Linked DNA regions of Lonchura striata. The protein of the gene in region 1 interacts with the protein of each later gene in a pairwise test. Links are inferred from orthologs where the notes say so. Each region holds a gene or a part of one and is shown on either strand. Other genes may lie near its edges.

Evidence for each region.
Region 2: the proteins of CDCA7L (region 1) and CTNNBL1 interact in binary tests that used the Homo sapiens proteins (3 or more experiments, as listed by UniProt). The link is inferred for Lonchura striata from reciprocal best matches to the Homo sapiens genes CDCA7L and CTNNBL1.

What each region holds. Positions count from the first base shown.
Region 1 is NC_134603.1:125,523,478-125,531,603, forward strand, and holds the start of CDCA7L (cell division cycle-associated 7-like protein), read left to right. Parts: upstream 1-4,901; 5' UTR 4,902-4,902; coding exon 4,903-4,959; intron 4,960-8,126. UniProt on the Homo sapiens protein: Plays a role in transcriptional regulation as a repressor that inhibits monoamine oxidase A (MAOA) activity and gene expression by binding to the promoter.
Region 2 is NC_134619.1:8,136,177-8,143,377, reverse strand, and holds the start of CTNNBL1 (beta-catenin-like protein 1), read left to right. Parts: upstream 1-4,141; 5' UTR 4,142-4,255; coding exon 4,256-4,285; intron 4,286-7,201. UniProt on the Homo sapiens protein: Component of the PRP19-CDC5L complex that forms an integral part of the spliceosome and is required for activating pre-mRNA splicing.

The DNA.
Region 1 (8,126 bases):
GGGAAGTGGACTCTAATCCTGGCTCATCTCCTTTGTGACTGACTAGCAACAAAATACTGTTTTCAATATAAAACGTCAAAAATGAATTTTCAGCAATACAAGCTTTATTGGCACACTGCCCCCCCGCCCCCCCCCCCCCCCCCCCCTTTTTGCAGGAATTTTAAGGGAATGATGGGAGAGCATGGGGAAAGCTGTCTTAGACAGCATTCAGGTGACTACTGCAAAAGAATAACCTGTGGCTTCATTTTCAGTTGGCAGTGTAAGATCACCCAAGCCCTCAACCTCACCCACAAGCCAATTTGTTGCAACAATCACCATGTGTAAGGAAAGGTTTTGAGATGAGTGGGTGGAAATCAAGGTAGCAGGAACATTTGTGCTTTTGTTGTTCTGTCAAATACCACCCACAACCCACTGTTGGAGCACAAACCTTCACCACCAACATAGTCCTCCATGCCAGCTTTTGAAAATACTCTGAAAATTTACCTTAGCCAGGTTGAAAGAACAGTAGTTTTTTGTATATAAGGTAAAGTATGTTTCTGGGTTTTGGTAATGGAATACATAATATTAAAAATTGGGTTCAAGTTAAGGCAATTCTGTGTCTCTACCTTTTTGTAGACATCTTTGAGAAGAGTGTTTTGTCATGAACACCATTCATGGTAGCAATTGTGTGTGTATTCATACAGCTGTTAGAAACTAACCCAGAAAATATCAAAGCACCAGAAATAGTGATGGAAGATGCCAATGAGTTAATAGTCAGGGACACAGCTCCTGGACAAGCGTGACCACAAGTAAATCTTAGAGTTGTTGTTTTATTCTATGCCTTCTGCGATGGTGATTTGCCCTGCACAGCAGAACAGATCTTGGCCTTTCTTTTTCACTTACTAGAGGATTTGCAGAGCAGGAAAAGAAGATTACAATTCCTCTCAGCAGAAAGTAATCCTTTTAAGTTAGGTATGTCAGCATTCATTGAGAAGTGTGGGAAAGTGCATGCTATTTAAAATGCTTGACAGGTCTTAGAGAAGTGTGGTGGCAGGAAGATAGGAGTAAAGCTCCCAGTTGTGATTACAATGGCCCCCAAATTGTAGACTGTTAGAGCGAGCAGTGAAAGCAGAGTTCAGCAGCAAGGATTGATTTTGATGTTCAACCAGCTTGGTAAATTCATGGCAGTAAAGTCCAAAATGATAAACTAGAGTGGTATTGTTAATTTGAAACTCACAGGAAACAAATTTTCTGTTTACATGGCCACTTTAGAGAGGTGTTGGTGCTGTCCTGTAATTTTACAGTGCATCATGTTGTTACTGAGTATCCCATAAATTAATGGATCTGCTATACCTGATGCATATTTTGACTAGCTCATAATTCCTTTAGTACACATTTGTTCTCTTTGGAAATTTCAGTCTGATTATAATAGTCATACTGAGCCCAAGACAGAGCTCATTGTTATGAGTTTCATTGTATAGTTTTGAGCACGAAGAGTTGGACTGAGACATTATCAGCAATGCTCTCACTATTCTGGGTCCAGTCATTGCAAAATAATTCAGGCTTAATATATAAAGCTGAAGTTGAAAAGTATCAGGAATTCAGCTAAACCTCATCTGAGCAGATGATGAGATCCTACTGACAAGGCAATAACACAAAAACTGTTGTGGGTTAGAAAAAAGAACTTGGAAATAATATGACAAGAGGCAAAGAAAATGGACAGGAATTCAGTGATGGAAAATTCACACTGAGAAGTATTTGAGCTACAGCCACAGAAAAATTAAACTAACAAAATTTTAAACCCCCCCACACTTCTAATAAGGCAGCATAAAGAACAATAACTGACAAGAAGGACTTGAAATGCTGAGAAGGAGAATGAATGTGAAAGTACAAAATGAAATGGAAAGTTAGGGGAGAAAAAGAGAAACAAAGCCAAAACAACAAATTGCATAAAACAGCTGAAAATATCAGACAGTTCATAATGTATTTGTAACAGCATAATAGCTGTACATCTCTATTGTAAGAGAATTCAATTTTATTCACTCTAATTTAGTACAGGACAGTCAATACAGCCATTTCAAATCTGTTGTTCGCAATCCAAGACAGCATGTTGACAGCTTTTAACAAAGTGCTTCATAATGTAGACTGCTGGGGACTAGGGAAAGAACCAAGCCCAGGATCAGCAGTGGAGGACATAATATACAAGCTTTTCAGGAATGTATTGCACAAGAGATCTTTATTATTTTGTCTTTTAAGAAGTCTGCATTTCAATTTTACTGATATTATACATAATTCCCACATTTTGTCTTCTACTGAATGCCCTTCTCCCCACCTCATGCCCAAACCTTCTTATTTCTGCGCCCTGAGTGGTAGCAGCAGGTGCTTCAGTAGTGGATATTGCAATGCAAACCAGTGTTTAAATGGCCTGCTTTGGCTAAATGCTTCTTTGTTTGCTTGTAACAACTTCCTTCACATTCTTAACAAATACCTTCCATATGGCTGGAATATAAAGGTTTGGAAATACTTAAATGGGTAGCCCACCATGTGTTACACTGAGGATCATATGCAATGGTACATGGAGAGGCTCTGGGAAGAGCTCATCCATCCTTCACTTTCCAGAAAAATGTTACTTTCCTCTAACTTTTATTTTAAGTCAATATTTACAGTGGAGTGTTTAAAATACCTAGTCAGATCGGGGAACTCATCAGAGTAGGCAGACTGCACTGTGCATTTTGAAGTGCTCCCCTAAATTAAAAAAGACATAATGCTTTTAAGTCTCTGTCATCCAGAAGGTACTGAAACAGTTGAAACAATCTGAATTTATTTTTAACATGGCAACTCACAGTTGTGTCTGAAGGTAAGCTACAGAATAACACACTTTGTTCCTCTGATTTGCTTTTACCAATTCAAAAACTATAAAGGTAGTTTTTATGGGTTTATTTCAGCCAGATTACATGGGCAAGTGAATTTCTTGCTGTTCTATTCCACTATCCAGACTAGAGGGCTTGTGGAAGACACCAGACAGAAACCTGGGTGTGAAACATACCCTGAGACCTGATACTGAGATTCCTCCAGTTCAGACATAGTCATCAATTCTTCCCCTGTTTTCTCAAATCCCATAAGGAGAATGGCACACATACTTTCCTTTTTTAGTACTGCAAACACTGAGATACTTCACTGCTGATCCCAAGAGAGCTCTTTCCCTCTGAGCCACCTACAGAGTCCATCCTTTTGAGATGGATGATGAACAGCTGGCAATAGCCCCATCAGAGAACGTGGTGGGGGTGCCATGCTGACAAGATAGAGAATGTCCCTTCAAGGGAGAAATACGCAGCTGCAAGGGTGCGAAAAGGGAAGAGAACTTCATAAAATGTGTCCTGATGAGGGGACTTGCAACTGTAGTGGAAAGTGTATCCTTCTATTATCAAAGTTGCATCAGGAAAACATTGTCTCAACAGTTTTCTGCTGGACCTGCTTCACATTCCATTGGGCAAGGGAATATTCACAGTGCCAGTGGGACAGGGGGAAGCTGAGTACAGATCTCCACCCCACCCAACCAGACAACTTTGGGAGCAACTCTCTCCTCAAAGGGTAGATTTTCTCACTGAATTATTGGGTAATCATAATACAAAGTACATAATCTAGTAACAATCCCCTTGATTAAAAAGGGACACATAAAACATTGTTAAGTTTTTAATAAAAATTAAACCTCTTAATTGAGGAATAGAGGTTATTCAGAAAAAACTAGAAAAAATAGTTTGCCTGGTTTTGTATTCATCTTTCTGCTAGCTGCACAGTGGAAAAAATAATGATATAGGAACTTGTGTGGAGGAAAAGTGCTTTAAAATTTGATATATTAGGGTTTTTTTCCCCAATTACATTTTTCTGATTAGATTTATTTTCCAGGATTTGTGATATTTTGAAATTTGAACTGTTGACTTGCTGTTTCAAGGAACCAGTTCTGCTAGCCATTCCTTTCAACTTCAGATTTCACTTTCACAGTAAAGTTAAAGGCTGTTGAATTGGGAACCTGGGGAATGCATTGAAAGTCCGCCTGTACTTGGCACTGGTGAGGTCACACCTCTAAGCCTGTTTTCAGTTTTGGGCTCCTCATTACAAGAAAGGCATGGAGAGTGTCCAGAGAAGGGCAGTTGAGCTGGAGAAGGGTCTGGTAAAAGATCTGGTGCACAAGTCTGATCAGGAGCAGCTGAGGAAGTTGGTGTTGTTTATTCCAGAGAAAAGATGGCTCAGGAGGACACCTTATTATTCTCTACAAATGCCTGAAAGGAAGGTGTAAGGAGATAGGGGATGGTCTCAAGTAATAGGACAAGAAGAAATGGCCTGAGATTCTGCCAGGGAAGGTTTCTTCACTTAAAGAGTGGTCAGGCATTGGAACAGGCTTCCCCTAGAAGTGGTGTAATCGTTATCCCTCAAAGTGTTTAGAAATCATTTGGATGTGGCTCTTGGGGACATGGCTTAGTGGTGAATGTGCAGTGCTGAACTAATGATTGGACTTTACTATTTTGATTCGAAAGTGACATCATTCCCCCTCTGCGCCCTCCCCTCCATTTTTTTTCCCAGAGGATTTCAAGAGGCTTACACTTCCCGCCTGTATTGCGTAAATAAACATTTTCAGTTATTTGGAGGATGAAAGCCTATTTCCTTCCAAAGCCTGCCTCTTTCAGACGAACAGCTGCCGCCCAGCGAAAAGCGTGCAGGAAAGAACGGACGATGCGGAGTGCCCACGGGACCCGCAGCAGCATCCGAACAGCACTGCCCATCCCGAGGCAGGCCACGCGGAGTGCCCCGTCCCTCCACCCGCTTTCCCGCCGCTGCCGGGCGGCTCCACCCCGCCACCGCCCCGCGCCCCTCCTCCCTGCTCCTTCCTCCTCCTCCTCCTCGGCCCGCGGCGGCGGGGCGGCCATGGCGCGGCGCGGCCGGCGGCGGCGGCGGGCAGCGGCGGCGGGGACCCGCGGCAAGGTGAGGGGCCCGCGGGCTGGCGGAGCGGGGCCGGGCGGCGGGGACAGCGAGCCGGCCCGCAGCTTCCCGCCTGCCCGGGGCAGCGGCGGCCTTTGTCCGCTGCCCGCGGCGTGAGGGGTCGGAGGAGCTGCCCGGCAGCGCCGGCGAGTGACCGCCAGTGGCGGGGCGGCTCCCCGGCGCGCCCGCAGCGCCGCCGCCGCAGCGCGCTGGCCGGGACACCGGGCGGCCCGCGCTCCCGCCGGGAGCCATCCACGTGGCGCGGCGGCTCCGCGCTTGTAAAAGGCCGGGAACGGGGTGGGAGCCGCCCTCGGGGCGGCCCTCAGGCACTCCGCAGCGGCGTGGGGCAGCTGCAGCTGTGCTGGGACTTGTAGCGGCTCTAATAACGGCTGGAGTGGATCACTGAGAATTAATTAGTTGTGAGCCTGGGGATACCACTTTAGAAACGGCTAATACATTTATTTAATTCTAGCCTATTTTACTTTTTTTCCTTTTTTTCTTTTGAAATGCCGCGATGCCAATGCTGGCAGATACTTGAGTCGCCTGAGAGGCATGCTTCCATCGGCTGTGGTCTTGTCCAAGCCTGGTAGCACATGCTTGGGTGCATCAGGCTGATTGTGTGGTTCAGATCTTGGGAGGTCGTATGGCTGTAGAATCGTAGAATACTTTGGATTGGAAGGGACTTTATCTAGTCAACCTCCGTGAATGACCATTGTCATCTTAAAACTAGATCATGTTGCTCAGAGCCCCATCCAACCTGACTTAAATGTTTTCAGGGGTGCAGCATCTTATCAACTCTTCAGACAGCTTGTTCCAGTGTTTTACCATTCTTATACGTAGTCTAAATTGACGGTTTAAGTCGTGGTGAACTTCCCGGGTGATGTGAAGGAGTGAGGAGAAGCTGAGCATCTCATTCAGCTCTTGCCAATGGAAATTTAGAGTTTTACAAGGGTTTCTGTGGAACTGGAGTGTAATAGAGCCACTGGAATATTTATCAGAACCTCTGTCCTTGCAGAGACCTTCCACCTCTGTATGACCTCAGCCCCTTCATTGGCAGTGTGAAGATAAGGCCACTATAAAACAGTTTGGGATAACCCTGTTTGACTACAGACACAAATGGCACTCGATTCTCACCTCTCGTGCTGTAACACGAGACTCTTACTGTCTACTAGTTCCCTTTCTGGTACACAGCTAAAGGCTGCACATCATCTTTCTTTAAAGGCTCAGCAAAGGGCAGAAGGACAGGGTCTGTTCTTGGTACTTTCCTATTTCTCATGGGAGTTTATTTTTGACTGAGCACAGCCTTCTGCTGGCTCCGCTTTGTCTTTGTGATACATTAGTGGGCAGTGAGTTCAATCCTGGCTGGGCCAGAAGGATGTGGTATGAAGGTTTCTTTGCCTCCGAAGTCACGGACCGTCAGCAGTGACGGGCAGATTGGCTTGTGAGTACATGCCCCCATTCAAAAACAATTGCCGAAGATGTCAGCAGTACAAAACTGTTTTGAATTGCAAGACCTGCAGTTCCACTTCCTGTCCCGGGGTCTGATTTACCAGGTTCTGGCACAGCAATTTCAATACTCAGAGCTTGTTAAAGGGGTGCTGGCTGTGACTTTGTGTTTGCACCCACAAGGCCTGAACTCAAGTCCTAGATTTGAACAGTCCAGGCACAAAGCGAGGGTACATTGTGGTATTGTACAAAAGTGTTTTCCTTGAAACACCGGGGCTGGGACAGTAATTAGGCATCACCATGGGATACTCTTGAATTATGCAGAATTAATTCAGAAATAGTTGTTACAACTGTTAGGATTGGTGAGAGATTAGATGGTGCAAAGGAAAAAATAGTAGCAGTTGATAGTGTTTGGATTGTGTTCATATGCTGGCATGCTGATACAGTGCTACCAGCATTTTTGAAGAGTAGGAAATAGTTTCCAGGAAGGTACTGCCTATGGAAGGTGACATTTTAAATTACTTGCCATGTGATTATGATAATTAGGAATTCCTTATTTTAGGACAAAGTAGCTTTATGGACATTAGCTTATTATCAGTCTAAATAAGGCAATATAGAAACTGTATTCGGCTGGCTGTTCTGAAAACAGCTGAATTTACCAAAATTTCATGGACCACTAGGTTTACTGGTGTGAAAATTGGAAAATTGCCAGAATCTTTTGACGGGGTACCCTCAAAGTCCCAGGAGTTGTTGCTGTGACAGATTAAAGGCTCAGGCATAATCCATCTTTACTTTAGAATGGAATTATTCCTGCAAAGATCATAAAAGTAGGTGATGACTGCTTGTTCTATCTGTTGTTCCTTCTTCTTTCAGAACACTCACTTGCTTTCCATCTCCTACCACTTATGCCAGGAATACAATTCACTGTCCAGGGGATTTCAGCTTCTTGTGCTTTAGTGATGTAGAGAAATTTTGGAGGTCATCTGCGATCTTCCTTGCCTTCCTAGATCTTGTTGATGCCCATGAGTCTCCGGCTGATTGTGTGGTTGACAGTCTTTTCAACCATGCATCCAATCTGTGTAATTCTTTTGTACTGTAGTATGGGGCTTTGTATCTCTGTGCTTTCCATGTCTTTCACATGTTTGTATGTTACTTAATTTTAAGCTTTTAGAATGCTGTTTGCTTTTGTGACTCCAATGGAAAAATCAGGATCTTGACTTCTGAGTAGTTCTGGTTTATTGGTCTGGCAACTATTGACGTTCTGTCTGGGCCCCTCTATTCTTGTAGTGCTGCCCACAATTGTCAGCCTTGGAGTGCTTCCCTGTTCGGTTGTTCCTTTGAGGTATGAGCCAAATGCAGTGCCCTTGGGTGGTGTGCCTTAGGCTGGCTTCTGGACTGAACCTGGGACAACAACAAAAAAAGTCAAGAGGCTTTCCAGCACGTAGTGAAGGTGTGGCTTTGCACAGGTTTGGTTTGTGTGAGTATCTGCTTGGGATTAATCTTTGGTTATTTCAGTCTGACTGAGTTTGAACATGACTGAATTTTCTGTCCTCTACTTTGAGTAGGAATGCCCATACATTGTTTTAAATTGAATTAAGGGAACACAGCCCAATTGACTTTTTTCCCCATGGTAGGAGCAAAAATAGGGAACTATATCTAGCCCTGCTTTCTCATGCTGTAGGTTCTCCTGATACATTGCTGTTGGAGAAGAATGTGCTAGTGTG
Region 2 (7,201 bases), on another chromosome or scaffold:
CCACTGGCCACAGCAGTGATTTCCCCTAGGCTGCCTTTCTGGAGAAATCTTTAATTTTGATTGTCACACTTTGTGGAGTTTATGTCAGGGAAGTAGAGCCATAAATAAGGTGCTGCTTCAGCACCCAGCCTCCAACTGTACCAGGACAGTGAATGGCACTGCCACAGGTGGGGAGCAGGGACAGCCTGACCACAGGCATCCTCTCCCCTTGCACCTTCCTCTTCCCTCCCCACTCCAGCCCCATCTACCCTCAGCTCAGTGCCTGGCTTCTCACAGCCTGATTTCACAGGTCAGCAACCTTCAATTTCCTGGGCCCATCCCCACCCCTCCCACCAAATGCTTCACAGGTTCATGAAAATCTCATTAACCATAACACCACAGCTGGGTTCCTGTGCTGGCACTGGAGCCCTCCAGCTCCTGCTGTGCTGTGCCCTGGCATCCAGCACCACGGGACCCCAGGACCAAGCACACAGGGATCCTGGCCAGGAGCTGTGCCAGGCTTTCAGGGTGGGAAGGTGGCACTGGAGAGGGAGGGCACAGGCTGTGTTTTGCTCCATGCTTACAGCTTCACAGCCCCAGCTCAGCTGCTATGGTGCTGTGGGGCTGGAATGGGTGTCATAGTCAGACTGGGGAGGTGGCAGCTCTCAGGGCTACCCCAATGCCTCCAGCTCGGGCAAGCAGCACACAACCCTGATAAGGGGCCTGTCCTCTCCCTCCTGGGGCCTGGGGAGGGCATCTCCCAGCAGCTTTTGAGTAATTAAGAAGCGGGAAGGGATTCAGGCAGCTCCCTTCGGCATGGAGCTGGCACAGTAGTGCCGGGCGAGCTCAGGAAAGGTTACACCATTTGCATTTTACCCTTCAGTAATTCCAACACTTACGGGTGCAATTAAGCAGCAGCCTGGTGTTATGAAGCTATCAGGGCGGAGAGACCTGAATTCCAACGATCTCCGTGTGCGTGCCTGTCCCAGACTGCTCCATCTGTCTGCGGTGACACCGCGCGATGCCGGTGGGTCACAGGGACGGGCTGTGATTCCATCTGATGAACATTTTTCCCTTGCTGGCACCCAGTTTTGGTGCTCTCGGAGGCTGAGCACACGGAGGGGAGTGAGTGTTGGGATGGTGGAGCAGGTCCAGGCTTGTGCCATACTCGTCACTACAATAAAGCATCTGATCTGACGGTGCCTCGAAAGAACAGCCCCTGGCCTGCTTTGTTTGGTGTGTGACCCCCTGATGTGGCAGGGCTGGATGGACCACGATGCCTGTGGATTCTCTGCCGTGGAACAGGGTCTCCTCAATGTTCAGCAGCCCCTACCCTCTGTGGGAGGATGGGGGCTCTGTGGCCATTCTCCTTTCCTGCTTCAGTGGGACAGCAGGCTGGGAGAACTGCTGCCTTTCCCTTTAAGCATCATCCCTGCTTAATTCGATGGTTTTGAGTCCCGGCTCATGATTTCTGCAGCAATTTGGGCTGAGATTTCTCTCTTTCCCTCCATTATCCACTCTGATTAACTCAGCTGGCCCTGTCAGCTCCCATTCCGGCGCGGGAGCCCTGTGAGAGCCTGTTAAAATGCATGAGCCTGTGGCAGTCGCTCCACTGCCCAGCGAGGCTGAACTGAGGGAGGGGGCTGCAGGCAGCAGGGTGGTGGGGCTGGGGACTGTGGGGGTCCAGGGACAGGGTGCAGGTGCTGTGGGGGTGCCAGTGTCCCCCTCTGTCAGTATGGGGGTGTCCTGGCCAGAGTTGAGCCAGGGGGAGACCCTGTGGGGTGCAGGACCCAGTCCCCCCCACATGCCAGGCTGTTGGGCAGCTGAATCTTCCCCCATGCAAAGGCTCGTTTCCCATTGCAGCTCTGACTTGTTCCCTTTTTCTCATTTTAATAAAGACGAAAGCATCCGGAAACGCGGCTGCACCCGCCAAAGAGCGAGATCTGACATAATTAAAAAGTGGCTTCAATCAGGCTGTTTTCCTAATGGTTTGTCATATCAGCCCGCACGGCCCTGCACCCCCTGTGCTCCCAACCCCCTGAGGCATCATTTACATTTCTTAATAACCCCTCATTAATATTCATGACGTGGGGAGGGTAATAACGGCTGAGTGCACACCACTAATTCAATTTCAGCGAGCCTCTGTGTGTTTAGTTAATCACTGGGGGACCTGGGTTACTCAGTACAATTATTTATTCGGAATTAGATCTCGAGGCATCTGGATTGAAACCTGAACTCGGAATAAAATTAAACCAGGATTCTCCTCCTCTCCTCCTCCTCCCACCTTCGCTCCTATCCATGGTTCTGAGCATCCCCTGCAGCCCTGCTTTGCTGGGATGAGGATCTGGCGTTTCCATGCTGAGACCATTGCATAAGCCTCACCTGCAGCTGCTGCTGGGTCCTGGCTCCTCTGTGCCCCTCCAGGGAAAAGTGTCAGCAAAGGCCTGGGGACATGGTCAGCCCTGAGGGTGGCACCCCACTGCCTGTGGAAGTCAGGAGTCCTTGTTCTCCTGACCAAGCCAAGTCCCAGGGTTTGCTCCAGCCTATCCAGAGCCTTCAGCCTCTTATCCAGCTTTGTTGCATGTTCCACCTGGGAGAGGCTGGTGCCAGCCCCAGCACCACTCAGCTTCTCGTCTCCATCCTTCATTTATTTGAGAGCTTTTTTAATACTTTGGTTTTGCTCCTGGTTTTGCTTTTTAATTCAGTATTTTGTCCCTGTGCTCCAACTCACCTTATTGGATAAAAATTCTGTTATTGCATCCTGCCCTGTAGGACTGGATGAGAACTGAGCGGTGCCTCAGTTCTTCAAATTCCTGCTTTTGTTTTTTTGAGTGATCCCCCGACCTTTGAGTCCTGTCAGGGAGGTGAATTGAACATTTTCCATCCCTTTTTTCATCGAGGCGAACGCTCTGGCTGTGCTCAGGTTGGGGCTCTGCTTGTCAGTGATGATTTTTGGCTTCCCCCAGCTCCTCCCAGAGCTGCTCCACTCAGTGGGAATGAGGTGCAAGGGAAGCCCTGGGGCAGGAGCAGCTCACCATATTCTGTGTCTGTGGGTGGTCAGTCCTTATCCCCAGTGCTCTCCATGTGTATGCTACACCTGCTTTTTGTGGTTATCCCTGGGTGGGGGGGGGTCAAGCTTCCCAGTAGCTGAATCCTGTTCCTAGTATGTGCCAGTACCCCTCAAGGGTCTCAAATTGTGCAGGTTTCACAGCTGGGGAATTATCTGAGCACTCAATATCCCAAAGCCAGATGAGCTAATAATTATCTTCTATTTATCTCATCTTTAACATGCAGATTTGTTGAGTTAATTTTGCCATGACCGATCTCCTATATTTTCTTGAAACAACAGGGGACGCGAGGGACTCCTTCAAAAACATTATATATTTTTTTAATTTTCTGAGATTCCTCAAACCAGACTCCCGCTGAGATAACTGCGTAAGAGCTGCGATCATTATAAAAAAATTATTTTAGCTCAAAACTGTTTTTTTTTTTTAAAGCATAGCTGCAATAAATTCAGTAGGATTTTGGCCGAGTTGCCTCTCTCCTAATTATTCTTATTTGTTAAATTGAGAAACGCCTCAGTCTGTGCGGGGTTCTGCATCTTGTGGAATTGCAGGGCGGCTTGTCACCAGCTCGGCAAGCGGAGGGGCCGCCGCTGCCGCGCTGGGAGCCGGCTCCCGGCGTGTTTCACGGTGACAACGGCTCCCGAGGGGCTGGGAGCGGCAACAACCGCGGCAGCCTTTGGAGGTGGTGGGAACGTGCCACAAAAGAACGCCGATCCCGCGGGCCCGGCGGTGCGGGGCGTCGCCTCCCCCGCCGTGACAGCGGCGCCCGGCCCGGGGCACAGCGGGGACGGCAGCGCCGGGGCCCGCCTCGCCCGTGGCGAGCGCCCCTGTCCCCGGTGGTGTGTCACGCTCTCGGCCTCTCCCCGCCCTGCGGCACCGGGGAGGCACCGGGGAGGCACCGGGGAGGCACCGGGGAGCCCCCGAGCCGCGCCCCGGGCCCCGCCGGCGGCCCCTCTCCCCTTCGCGACAGCGCCGCGCTGCTTTACGGCAGTGTGGCGCCTCCCCGTCTCTCCCTCCCCGGCACGGCGTCCACCGCCTCGCTTTCCGGCAGTGTGGCCCCTCCCCGCCTCTCCCCGGCACGGCGCCCACCGCCTCGCTTTCCGGCAGTGTGGCGCCCCCGCCGCCCGGCCTGCGCTGCCTGCCTTACGGCAGGTGTCGCGCGGTCCCGGTGGTTTGCGACAGGCTCCCGGTGGCGGGGCCCGGTGGGTGCGATGGACGTGGGGGAGCTGCTCAGCTACCAGGTGAGCTCGGGGGGCTGCGCCCTGCTGCGGGTGCCGCGGTGCCCTGCGCTCCCGTGGCCCCGCTGCGGCGGCAGCGATGCTGCTCCAGCTCCGGTGCGGCCGCGGGCCCGGGGCGGCCGCCGTGCGGGGGTCACCGGCCCCACTCGGTGCACGGGGTCTGGTGAAAGTGTCGCTAAGTTCTGGGGGTCTCTCCCCTTCTTGTGCGCGGCGGTGCCCGGTAGGAGCGGGTTCCCGGGGCTCGGCAGCGTCGCCGGTCTCGTTTCGGCACAGATCGGTGCCCGCCGGGGCTGCAGCGAGGCCTCTCCTCCTTCCGTGGCTGTTCCAGCGTCTCTTTCTCCCTGTTGTACGACAAAACCTTTTCAATTTCATTTTTTATCAAAATACGTTTTTAAAAGTTTTCTTTATAGAAGTTTTCCTTTACTGGGTGCGTTTCGTTCCCTCGCCCTGCGTTCACTGGTGGCTCGCTGTGTGCAGGTACCGAGTTTTGATTTATTGTCCCAGGAGCAGATTTCCCTGTGGAACAGGGAATGAGGGTTGGAACTGCAGGAACATTTGGATACCTTGGCTGGGATAATGCCGGGCTTGGCTTCAGTTCTCAGCCCGGCTGCAGCCGTGGCGTTTCCCTGGGTGAGGAGAACACCCCGAGGCGGTGTAAGAGTGGCCAGGTGTGCTCCCGAGCTGAGAGCGCAGAATTCCTGGTGGAACTCGGTGCCCTCCTGCTGTGCCTCATTCCGTGGGGCACAGAGATGAAGTGAAGGGGGTGTCTTGCTGTTCACTCCATGTTTGTGCTTTGGGAATGCGTTCTTTGGAGATGCTCAGGGAAAAAAGACAAGTTGCTGTTGGGTTTGAGAAGTTTCTCAGCAGTTTTCCCAATGGTATTGAAGTTTCTGGGGCAGTCTGAGAGCTCCACTGGATTCTTCCTTGATAATCTCCAGGATGTTTCCTTCTGTGGATTGCTCTGTCTCAAACATCCTTCCACACCCTGCTGCATCCAACAGCACAGCTCTGCTGGTCTAAGGTCTACTCCACTTCTGTATTTCCCTATCTTCTTCAAATGTGATTTTTCAACATCAAATTAGAATTTTCATTCCTTACATTCCTTTGAGTCTTTGGCCTCCTCCACCCCATCTGGGGCTTAACAATGCCATCCCTTACATGTCTGGGATGCAGGTTAAGACACAGAAGTTTAACAGGTAAACCTGAATGAATTTTCTCATTTTTTAGCCAAGTTCCAGTTTGGGGTTTTGTTGGTTGTTTTTTCTCTTGCTCTCAGAATGTGAGCTCCCCAAGGTTCCCTCCACTCTGGAGGGGAGTGTCCATTCACTTTGCTTTGCTCACTTGGATTTTGTGCAGCTTTCCCTTGGATGAGCTTTCAGCACGGTCAGGGGGTGATTGCTTGTGACAGTGGGGGCTCTATTCTGTCGAGGTAAAGAAATGCTGCTTAGCTGCAGGGTATCTAAATTTTAATTTCATTTCTTGCTGCTAAAATTGTTCTTAGCTGTGGGGAAAAGCATTCTGCAGCTTTCAGCCAGCTGCTGAAATAGTTCCTGAAGGATTTGTCCTGGCTCTGTGTGCTCCTGGGCAGCACAGCTGAATGCAGGTGCTTCTTGTGTCACTAGCTGAGGTGGTGCTTTAGTGAGCTTTGGAAGCCAGTGGTGTTGAATTTAGACCTCCAGAACTGGGGCAGTGGTGAGTACAGGTGAAAGAAGTGGAGGAGCAGAAGGCAGGCAAATAGCTCTGCTTCTGAGAAAATGAGATTCCCTTCTGTGAGGGCATTTCCTGCTGAGAGGTGGGGAAAAATAGTTGGAAGCAGCAGATTTCACTGCCTCCCATCCTGTGGGTCAGGCTCTGCCTTTGGGGAGGGTGGCTTGAAGAAGATGGCCAGGGGAGGGTGGCTTGTCAGCTCACCCAGCAGCTCCTGGCCCACTCCAGCCCTGGATTTGGGAGCTTCCCTGCTCTGGGCTGGCTCAAGGTCTCCTTGGCTGTCCTTATCGAGGGATGGTACCGGCTGTCGGGGAGGTGGAGTGGTGCCTCAGCTCTCTGATTTTAATCTCTTGCTGCAAATGAGTTGGTCTTCTCAACCTCCCTCAGCACAACCCAAAATAATTGCTTTCCTCTTACACTATTTTGAATTTTCTCCTCTAAATGTGTAATCTGTGCCCTTGCTTCAGCAAGAAGATGTTCTCCCTCAGAGCCAAACTTGGCGTGGAAGACTGCAGGCACCGTGCCACCAATTCAGCACCAAGTGTCTGCCAGAACAGGAAAAGAAACCTCTTGCAACAAAAAATACAATTAAACAGCACCTGGCCATTTATACAAAGCTCAGGAATCCATAAACTTTACGTGTTGCTGCAAAACAGTTGCAGATGGTCTAAAGTGATGATTAAATATTGCTGCTGTTTGCCCAGATCCTCCGTGTTTGGTCTCTGATTACAGAGGGTAATTAAGAGGATAAAGCCAACTCCGGGGCTATTCAGAGTCTTCTTTCAGTTGTCTTGGGAGGGAATAAGGGACATTATTTGAATTCTCATTAAAGGCAGATTTCACCACCGTGGGTGATCATTGCAAAGCGCTGATTTTTTGCTGGAATGTCAGTAAAATCAAGTAGCAGAAGAAGCAGTGAGGGATGGGGTGAGATGTGCCTCCACCCGCTGGGCCATCTCCCCGTGCTCTGTCGGGGCTGAGGGCGGTGTGTGCAGGGATGGATCTCTGTGCATCCACGGGGGCACATCATCATTTCTGCTGCTGGTACGGATAATTTGCTGTCAATTTGCAATGTAATGGATGCATCTGATGGTAGGGGCAGCTCAGCTGAGCTGGTTGTTGACTGCTCACAGAATTATTATCCCAGTAGCTGCTCTCCTGGCGGCAGTTAAAAAAAGGAGCCGACATTGGCTCAGCTGTCTGCCTCATCCC